Linked DNA regions of Cricetulus griseus. The protein of the gene in region 2 purifies or fractionates together with the protein of the main gene of each other region. This does not show direct contact. Links are inferred from orthologs where the notes say so. Each region holds a gene or a part of one and is shown on either strand. Other genes may lie near its edges.

Region 1 (2,630 bases), on a different chromosome or scaffold from region 2:
AGGCTCTCTGGAAGAGCAATGCATCTTCTTTACCACTGAGCCATTTCCCCAACAGCGCCCAGCCCCACCCACGCTGTGTGTGTCACTCAGCTACTCCCTTATCCCTTCCTTCTCCTACTCCAGGGGGTTTGCTGATGAAAATACTGTTGTAGCTGGTTCCCGGGTGCCTGGTGAGGGCTCCCAGCCTTGGCAGGGGTTTCGAGTCCAGCTTGGAGGCTTGCTTTTGAGGTTTTGTTTTGTTTTTAGGAGTTTATGATCACAGGCCTCTTCTGCTAACACTTCATCTGCTCTGATTCCCACAGGTGTGTAGGCTGTGAGGTCGTGCTGTCCGGCATCGAGGAGCAAGTCAGCCGTGCCAACCAGCACAAGGAGCAACAGCTGGGCCTGAAGCAACAGATCGAGAGTGAGGTAAGCAGGTAGGGAACAGGTCAGCTACAGCTACTGCCCTGGGCTCCTGGCCTGTGCACGTGCTGGATGTGGCTGAGGCAAACTGATAAGATAATCAGGATCTGTCAGGTTCTGGACCTACTTTGCTATCTGCCATTCCTTTCATCCTGATAGGTTGCCAACCTTAAAAAAACCATTAAAGTTACAACAGCGGCAGCTGCTGCAGCCACTTCTCAGGATCCAGAACAACACCTGACCGAGCTGAGAGAACCAGCTCCTGGCACCAACCAGCGCCAGCCCAGCAAGAAAGCCTCAAAGGGCAAGGGGTGAGCCCGTGCGGGGAGCCGCTTGCTTCTGGGTACCCCACATTTACCTCAGGGGCCTCAGCCTGGCTGCTCCACTTGCTTTAGTCATGTGCATGGGGTCGGGAATGGGGGTGTCCTCCAGGAATTAGGGGACCCCTTGCATCCCCTCTCTCTCTCTTCCCCTTGCCAGACTCCGAGGGAGCGCCAAGATTTGGTCCAAGTCGAACTGAAAGGACTTGTTTCTTCCCTGGGAATGTGGGGTCCCAGCTGCCTACCTGCCTACCCCTTAGGAGTCCTCAGAGCCTTCTGTGCCCCTGGCCAGCTGATAATCCTAGCTCATGACTTTTCATCTCCTCCACCCCCAAGCATAAGCCACATCCCCTATAGGGAGAAGGCCAGTCCAGGTCACGTCTTGTTGGTACTTGTTATGTGTTCCATTGCCTCTCTTCCCTGACACGCTTGCTCTCATCTTCACTCGGCACTGTGTCTGCCCATTACCCACGTCATCAACCAGGTTGGCAGTCCTATGGAGGGTGCTTTCTCTTCGCCACCCACAGGTGTTCTCTACCACGCCCACCCCTGCATGCCTAACCTGCAGTTCCTCCTTCCCTGTGCCTATTGGGCTGCACCTGAAAAGCTATTGGGAAGGGTGTCCTCCACCTTCATCCCAGCCTTAGAGTTCTGGAGCCAGTCTGCCATTCTGGGAGTCGCTGAACACTTTTCATCCCAGAATCCCATCACACTACAGTTGTTTCTTGTCCTGTCTCATCTCCTTGGGCCTGGGAATACTGTTGCTTCAGTGACCCCAGAGCCCCAGAACAGCTATTTTTGAGATGTTAAGAAATGGTTCTTTGTTAGCTAATCATCTTAGGAAACCCAATGGAAATCCTGGAATGATTTGTATTTCTTCTTGTGATTTTGGTGGGGAAGGGAATATAGATTGTATATTAAAAAAAAAAAAGGTATATATGAATAGGTCTATATATAACATGACACAGAAATAAATCTAAGAGAAATCTGTGTACAAAAATGCCAGGAACTGGGCCTCTTCTGTCTTTGATGTTTGTTAACAGGGAGAAGATCAATCCCAGTCCACTCTAAAGCCGAGTGCTGGGAAGTGAAAAGAACCAGATACTGTTTGCAGACTCTTGACTAGCAGCCAGGAGGCCTAGACCCTGGACAGATTGCTCCATACCTCAGCCCATGTTCAGAAGTAATGGGCACCTCCTGACCACCACCATGTCTTAACAGTGGAGATGCAGACTGACCATCACTGTCCCTACGCTCCAGGACCTGCAGTGTAGCCTGTTTCTTTCACCTTGTAGAATTACAAGGGGAGGTGTTGGTAGGGAATTTGAAATTTCACATTGAAAACGCATAAAACTATTAGCTTTGTTGATCTTTGGCCCTTTTGTCCAAATTAGAGTTTCCCAAGAAGTATGGCAGGAGATCGGCCTAGAGCACTGCTTGCTTCCTAGAGGAGGGGAATGCAGTTGAAGGTGGGCAGTTGAACCCTCACTTGGTGTGAAGTGTTGTCTCTGAGGGGCCTAGTGGGTCTGGTTGACTGGGCCTGTTGTGTTCTCTAACTGGGGATTTAGGAAATATCTCCTTTTTAAAAACAATTTTTTTTTGATAGGGATCTCTATGTAGCCCTGACTGTCCTTCCCTGTGTTGAGCAGTGGAGATGCTAGTCCCTGGCCTAGACTCACAGAGTGCTGGGATTAAAGACATATGCCACCATGCCTGACTATAGATAAATTACTCTTAACTGCTCCTAGCAGTCATTGGACTATAAAGTAGGGACAGAGTCCTGGTGTCTTGTTTTTGTTTGTTTATTTGAGGGTAGTTAATGGTTTTGAGACAGTCTTGTGCATTTCAGGCTAGCTTTGAACGCGCTATGTGGCTAAGGATGACCTTGAATTAGGACCCTCCTGTCTC
Region 2 (3,657 bases):
TTGGCTGGGGATATGACAAGGGTAGAGCAGCAGCAAGGCCACAGTGCCATGCCCAGCACTGAAAACAAATGCAGACACATTCATGAGTTCACACACTGAGACAGCCAAAGCCAATGTGTGGCCACTGCACCTTCTGAAAGAAGGCATGTTTCTTGTTTTGGTTTTTGGTGCCAGGGATGGACCAGAGCCCTATGCCCGACAGGGAAGTGCTGAAGTGCTGAGCCACTGAGCCACTTTCTCCACCAGGATGAGCTGAATGAGGTACTTCTAACTCCAGTGGCAGGATAAACTTCACCTTCCCCTCCCTTCTCCCTACAGAACAGTGCTTTTGTTTGTTTGCTTTATGCTCAAAGACAACTTCATTAGTGTTAAAGAGAAAAACACAGTACAGGTGGAAATCCTGGCAGACACCAGGAGATGGAGGAAGGCTCTGCTTTTCAAGTTTGGCAAGGAGTAGAAACAGCTTATGAAAAAGGAAAAAAAAAAACATCCCAAGAGTGGAAATATGCTATGAACTGAGGGAAGACAGCCCCCGCCCTCCACCAAACAAACCAGCTTATAACTGCCCAAATATTCTCTCTTCTGCCAGTATCAGATTAAAACTTGAGGTTTTGTGGCAGTAAATGTTAGTGTTTTCAACCCGTACATTCTGTCATCAATGGTCACATTCTCATCTAAGTTATCAGAGACCACATCCCAAGGAAATAATTAGCAAGTAAAACATGAGATACTAAAGTGCAGAAAGAACGACTTAAGAGAGAATCTTTTCCACAATATTCTGGAATCTGAAATTTGGCAAATTTAAGAAATGTTAATTCTTCAGAAAATGTTTAGTCGAGGAAAAGGGTAAGCATGCTTTTGGAAGCCCTTCCCCTGAAAAAAGATCTAGTCAGGGGCCAGCTTTCCTTGTACACCATGTGGCTATGGTATTCCTAGATCTTTGAGTTGAGCTTTCTATTTTGCCTTATGTCCCCTAAAATTTGAAAGTGTGATAATACTCAGGCATTTCCCAAGTTGTAGCTGACTGAACCACAGGATCAGGATTTACTTCCTGTAAATTTTGAGAGAAGAGTAGGGCAGGACCTGCACATGAACACTTACCTGTCTCTAGTAGCTTTGGCAAGTTTGTCTTCTGATTTCCGATCGTGTGTTTCTAAACCCAACATGAAACTCCCTCGTCCCAGCTGGGCTTCTGACTGCTCTAACTTTTCAGACAAATCAAACACCTGGCCAGTGGTATAGTCTGCATTCTGTGGAGAAAATGGTGTCATGTCATTTCACAGCATAGGCTCATCATGAAAATATTCTGTTTTTTTTCCAGGGCTAAGCCTGCCTTCAGGGACATGTAGATATAAGCAAGCACTCCACTACAGCATTATACTCTCAAGCCTTTGTATTTGTTTTGAGACAGGGTCTTGTTAGTTGCCCAAGTTGGCCTTACTCTATTGAGGAGCTGGAACTATAGGTATACCACCCATTCTGTCCAGCCCCACACCCCCACTGCCCAAGATTCTACCCACTCCCCCACACACTTGCTTTTATTTTTGAGACAGAGTCTCTCACTACAAAGCGCTGGCTGTCCTGGAACTTACTATGTAAACCAGACTAGCCTTGAACTCACAGAGATCTGCCTGCCTCTGATTCCTAGTGTTGGGAATAAAGGTGTGTACCACCATACCTGGCTAAAAACCCAATTTTTTTTTTCTTTTTGAGACAGGGTTTCTCTGTAGCCCTGGCTGTTCTGGAACTTGCTGTGTAGACCAAGCTGGCCTCTAATTTAGGGATTCCCTCTGCCTCTATCTCCCGGTGCTGGGATCAAAGGCATGCGCCACCATGCCTGACAAAATCCACTAATTTTTATGTAAATTAATTTAACATTCTATATCTAAATAATGTAAAGATGGATAGACAGTGAAGAAGTTAGGTCATAGCTATAAAAACTGCTCCTAAAATCTACCAATTTGATTTTAAAATTTTAGAACCTAATTTCAAGATTAAATGTGTTATTTTTTCCTTTGCTTAAATCAAGTTTTGTCATTATGAAGGCTATGAGGAATGCCTGGACCACGCCTCCTGGAACTCTTAAAAATGGAAGTAGGTGGCAATGATTTCCACCTTAAAACTCTAGGACTGTCCAGGGCACCTAAGAAAGGCTTAATAATTATTAGCTAGTTTTGTGACTGTTCTTATCAGAGTATTGCAATATGTCCTCATTCATACCTACATTTGAGGATCTATTACACATACCATTTCCAAATATGTATGTATTTTACAAATCACCAAATTACACCTCCAGGCTTAATTGTAATATTCTCATTTTATTTGTTTTGAGACAGGGTGTCAAATGACTCAGGCTTGATTACAGGCATATACCACTATGTTAGCAAGGGCTAACTGTAATATTTTTAAAAAGCTGCTATGAGATGTCTTTTTAGTTTTAATCTAAAACTGGCAACTATAAATGTAATCAAGGCAGTCTTGACTATAGTATGAGTTCCAGGCTAGTCAAGGCTATATATAAGGCAAGGCCCTGTATCAGGCTGGTGAGTCAGCTTAGTAGTAAAGGCACTTAATAATTTACACTCATCCCAACTATTCATGTCCTCATATTGCAATGCTGGAATACAGGGAAAGTCAGTCACAGGACTAAGCAGGTATATTCAACTGCCTTTATTGCTATTGTCTTAGAGTTTTCTCTCCCTGCCACCAGGTGTCACTTCTGACTATAAATATATTTGTCTCTAAGGGAACAACATACATAAGACACTTAGCAGTGCTTGGCACACGGGATACATAATATTTTCTAGTATGATTGCTTTCCTCCTTTATTTTTGTTTAAAACAAGATGGCCCCATGTGGCCCAGGCTGGCCTTTAGCTTTCAGCGTGGTGAGGAAGACCTGGAACTCCTGATCCTCTTGACTCAACCTCTCAAATCACAAAGACTGGCATTATAGACACACGCCACTGTGCCCAGCCTGCTCTCTTTTTAATTCTGCTACTTCTAGTAATACAGATCTTGTCAAAATTATATTTAAAATAAATAGGGCCAAGGGAGTCTTTCCAAGAATATAATGCACCAAACAAAACACTAGTAATTATTCATCCAGACTTCATTGTAAGCCAGGCACTTGCTAACTTTGTTATGACTTATGTAAAGTACCTTAGTGTACTTAGTAATACTTACAGTGTCACTGCCAACATTTTACACCAAGGCTCAGACACTAAAACTGGATGTGAAGCACATGCCTATAATCCCAGCACTCAGAGAGGGTGGGGACAGAAAGAAGTTCAAGGTCATCCTTGGCTACACAGCAACTGCAAGGCCAGCCAGGACCACAGGAAACAAAAGCTGCCCTAAGTTTTAAATATGTACCTATTAAATATATATCCATGTAATAAGCACATTAGATTTTAAATGATGTATCAGGACACACTGAGTTAATGCCTTTCTTTGCCTGGTATTTATCATCAAATTGATTTCCACGACCTCCTTCTCCAGCTTAATCCCCATGCTCCTCAAAGAGTTGTTTTCACACCAGCCCAGCAGTTAGCCCTTGCCTTGGCCCAGTCACTCATCAAATTTGTTGCTCTGCCCCATGACATGTCTTATGGATGAATATGTGATCTAAGCAAAGCTGAGCAAACACAGGAAACAT
Region 3 (3,657 bases), on a different chromosome or scaffold from region 2:
ACTAAACTCTTTGTTTTAAGACAGGTTCTCTCCACATCTGGCCTCTGCCTAAGTGCTGGGCTCAAAGGTATATGCCACCATGCCAAACCATATCTAAATATGTATTTGCCAACCAAATTCTCCATATTGGTTTGGTTTCTAAAGTTGTATTTCTAGAGATAAAGCCTCTAATCTACATAATTTAAATGCATCTCAGCATTTAAAAAGTCACAGATTGCTTTGATAAACTTAAAACACACACTATGAAGGCAAGCTTACTAGTATTATTAAAGTAGAAGTGAAAGATTTTATATTACAAAAAAAGGAAGAATTCTCAACTGGGTCTTAAGTCTTCCTAAGAAAGCAATTCCAGAAAGAAGCCTTAATACAATTTTTATCCTGATAAAACCACATACTTAGCCAATGGGGATAACCACTGTTATGCCATAGGTGGAAAAGGACATCAGCAAGTTCAACTGTTAACTATCCAATAGCATTACCTTTTAGCCACTGTAACAACTGCCTACCTTGAGAACTGATAATTGAAATGTAGGCTAGCCTAACAGCTCAGCATTTACAAATTAACTGCTATCGGTTAACCATTATACTGTCCCACAAGAGATGAAATTTTATTTTCTATTTCACAAATACTTTCTATTTCAATCTAGATTGAAATTGGGCAAAAGGGGGCTCTGTTTTAGCAGCAAGAAAGCATCCTCATTTAATGTATAAAGACAAAACATGAATCCCTGGAGAAAGAGAGCAATAAAAACAATAGTAAAGGTAGGAAAAAATCTACAACATAAGCAGCAAATGGTTTACATAGTTGATGTGGGGCTGGTTCTTACTCAACAAAAACAAATATATTTAGTTTCAATTATTTGTCATATTAATACATTCTGAGAATAAAGATAAAATTCCATAAAATTCTCTATTAAAGATAATGACATTTCATAGCAGTTCAGAAGGTGGGGGAGAAAAACATGCCAGGATGCTGAGTGTTATTCAAAGGTGCAAATTTGTTTATTTATCAAATGGCATAAACAAACCTCCTTTTTCAGAGATTATTTTTCACACAGTTAGTTAAAGCTGAGTGTTTTAACATGAAGGGTGTCTGTTGACCGAGTTTTGTGTGCTTTCTAGAAAGAAGGAAAGATGCAAGAGGTAAACAGAGCCCCAGAGTTAACCATGTGATTAGAAACCAATTAAGTTAAGCAATTACTGAAGCTGCTCTCTCTCCTTTGGGCAAGAATGGATCACAAATGAGACTGATATAAAAATGAAGATGCTTGCAAAAAGGCCAAGGCTGTTTTAGAGAAAGTATTTTAAAATAGAACCATTTACATGGTAAAATGTACACAGGAATGATTGATGAATGTACATAGAAGATTTATGGTCTACTAGTTTGGAAATATCAAAATGTTTTAGAAATATATCTCGTTTTCATTAATAAATTTAGTTAGTATTCACAGTGAAATAGGAAACAGTAATAATCAAGAGTATGGAAGACAATCACTCAGTGGCCTACTGGTCATCAAGAGCTATTGTATGTGCCCTTACTGCATTTTAAATATAAGAAAACACATTTAATATATATGCACCATGTAGAATTGTAAAAATCCTCAATGCCAATTCTAGCATTGGATTACTTAAAGTGACTTTTAAAAATAATCTAACCCAGTTCATAATAAGAAAAGCTAAAGCAAATTTGTAATATTTGCATCACATCATAATCCTACCTTAAAAGTACTTTAAAGGTGGGACTATTCTACTACCTACCTGGTTTATCCTTCACCCACAAAATGTATTGTAAAAACACCTAAATGCATAAGACATAATAAGACATCAGCTTCTTATATATAAAATATTCTTATAAACTACTCCTTTTTTGACTCCTGACCAACTCTGGAATCTTATCTATAACAACATCTTTAACTAAATGAGGAGTCCTGTCTACTGCTTTCAAATGCACCAACCTTCTCAAAAACGCTGGATGGAGTCATCAAACAAAACCTGATGTTCTGAATGATAGTATCTGTATGTCTCCATCGTCGTCTATCATGTCGCAGCCAAGACTGCACAGCCTCGTACAGCTCTATTTCTGGAAACCTGCTCAGATGATCATTATCCAGGTAAGACATGAGCTTCTCAAAGCTCAGATAGGACAGGAAGTCAGGCCTGGACATGAGTGGCACAAAGTTGTCTAGCAGAAAGGCGTCCAGCTTCTCCCTGACTCCCTCGATGTTAACACCGAAATCATCTAAGAGTCTCATAATTTCTGCACAATTTTCTAAGCAGATTTTGGCTAACAGAAAAGAACAGCAGAACTTCACCACTTCTATTAGCTGAACATACATTGCAGCCTGAAGAATTTCATGAACAGTATTCATACTCAGTTCTATAGTTCCATAATACATAAACTGAAGAACGTGGCTGAAACCGGTAGCTGTTAGACCTTTCAAATGAATTTTGTCCTGATCGCGTTCTCTCATGTCTGCTGTGAACATAATTCTGAAGTAATCACTCTGGGTGGCCAAGAGGGCTTTATGGGCCTGGAACTGATGGTCTTCAATAACCAGAGTGACATCGAGAAGCAATCCCTCCTCATACAGTGCTCTGAACCCAGCAGAGACACTGGTGTCATGGATGGAAGAACAGAAACCTTCCACGTCCCCTGCCATGAATCACCTGGAAAATAGTAATTAAAGAAAATGGTATTAATCATCACAATGGATTCAGAAGGTATTATTAAAAACTGTAACAATTCTTATATCTTAGGTTTACTGCCAAAGTCTTAAAGTATACAAACCATTAGAGAGAAGGCAACCTTGTATGAAAGTTTCCAAGCTAATGCTTTTAGCTTCAAACCTGGTGAAAAGACTCTACTAAAGATATATCTATCAAACTATAGTAACCTGTTAACTTACAAACAATACACGGCCATCTGACTTGCTTTATGCAATTCATCAAATATATATATGCCCCCAAATTAGGAGTACAAAAGATTTCATAAGTAAATACCTAGTTAAGGAAAAGCCAAAACAAAAACCAGAAAATAAATTATACCAAAAAAAAGGCAAATTTGAAAATTCCTAGAAATTCACCCAAAGTAAGTAACTGGATAAACATGCCAAGTTGTGCAGATAAAATTCTTAGAACTATTTATAATAAACTACTATAAAGTATCTGGCACAGTAGCATGCATCTGCAGTTCCAGCTCCTCAAGAGGCTGAAAGAAAAACATCACTCTAATCCAGAGTTCCAGGCCAGCCTGCACATGATGGAGTGAGAAAAGGAAACAGGGAGAAAGGGGTGTAAGGGAGGGTGATAAACATAGCATGCCGAGAATTCAGTCAGCCTGATTTACACAGCAAGTTCTGGACCAGCTGCTGTCTTGGGCTACAAAGACAGACCTTCCTTGTCCACAAAAAAATAACTTCAAAAGCTTGACACTTTGGGGGTATATGGCACATATCTACAATCTAAGCAGCACTCGGGAAGCAGAGACAGGAGGATTGCATTAAGTTCTAACCACTCAAGGCTACATAACAAGACACTCTTTAAAACGAAAAACAAGTCTGACAACAGATTAATAAATAAATATGGTTAATGGTAGATTACAGGTAAGAGTGGTGGTAGCAATCTGCCTATTCTGTCAAAGGATGTTTATTAGATGTT

What was found.
Region 1: the proteins of Cops5 (region 2) and Cops7a purify together in Homo sapiens (affinity purification with mass spectrometry; 19 studies listed by BioGRID and IntAct, counting the BioPlex papers as one, with this or other methods). This does not show direct contact. The link is inferred for Cricetulus griseus from reciprocal best matches to the Homo sapiens genes COPS5 and COPS7A.
Region 3: the proteins of Cops5 (region 2) and Klhl15 purify together in Homo sapiens (affinity purification with mass spectrometry; 3 studies listed by BioGRID and IntAct, with this or other methods). This does not show direct contact. The link is inferred for Cricetulus griseus from reciprocal best matches to the Homo sapiens genes COPS5 and KLHL15.

Annotation. Positions count from the first base shown.
Region 1 is NC_048601.1:21,457,285-21,459,914, forward strand, and holds the end of Cops7a (COP9 signalosome complex subunit 7a), read left to right. Parts: intron 1-302; coding exon 303-408; intron 409-561; coding exon 562-713; intron 714-882; coding exon 883-922; 3' UTR 923-1,765; coding exon of another isoform or gene 1,766-1,793; 3' UTR 1,794-2,091; downstream 2,092-2,630.
Region 2 is NC_048595.1:150,156,426-150,160,082, reverse strand, and holds part of Cops5 (COP9 signalosome complex subunit 5), read right to left. Parts: intron 1,251-3,657; coding exon 1,102-1,250; intron 1-1,101. UniProt on the Homo sapiens protein: Probable protease subunit of the COP9 signalosome complex (CSN), a complex involved in various cellular and developmental processes.
Region 3 is NC_048604.1:75,724,299-75,727,955, forward strand, and holds part of Klhl15 (kelch-like protein 15), read right to left. Parts: intron 2,668-3,657; 5' UTR 2,661-2,667; coding exon 1,956-2,660; intron 1-1,955. UniProt on the Homo sapiens protein: Substrate-specific adapter for CUL3 E3 ubiquitin-protein ligase complex.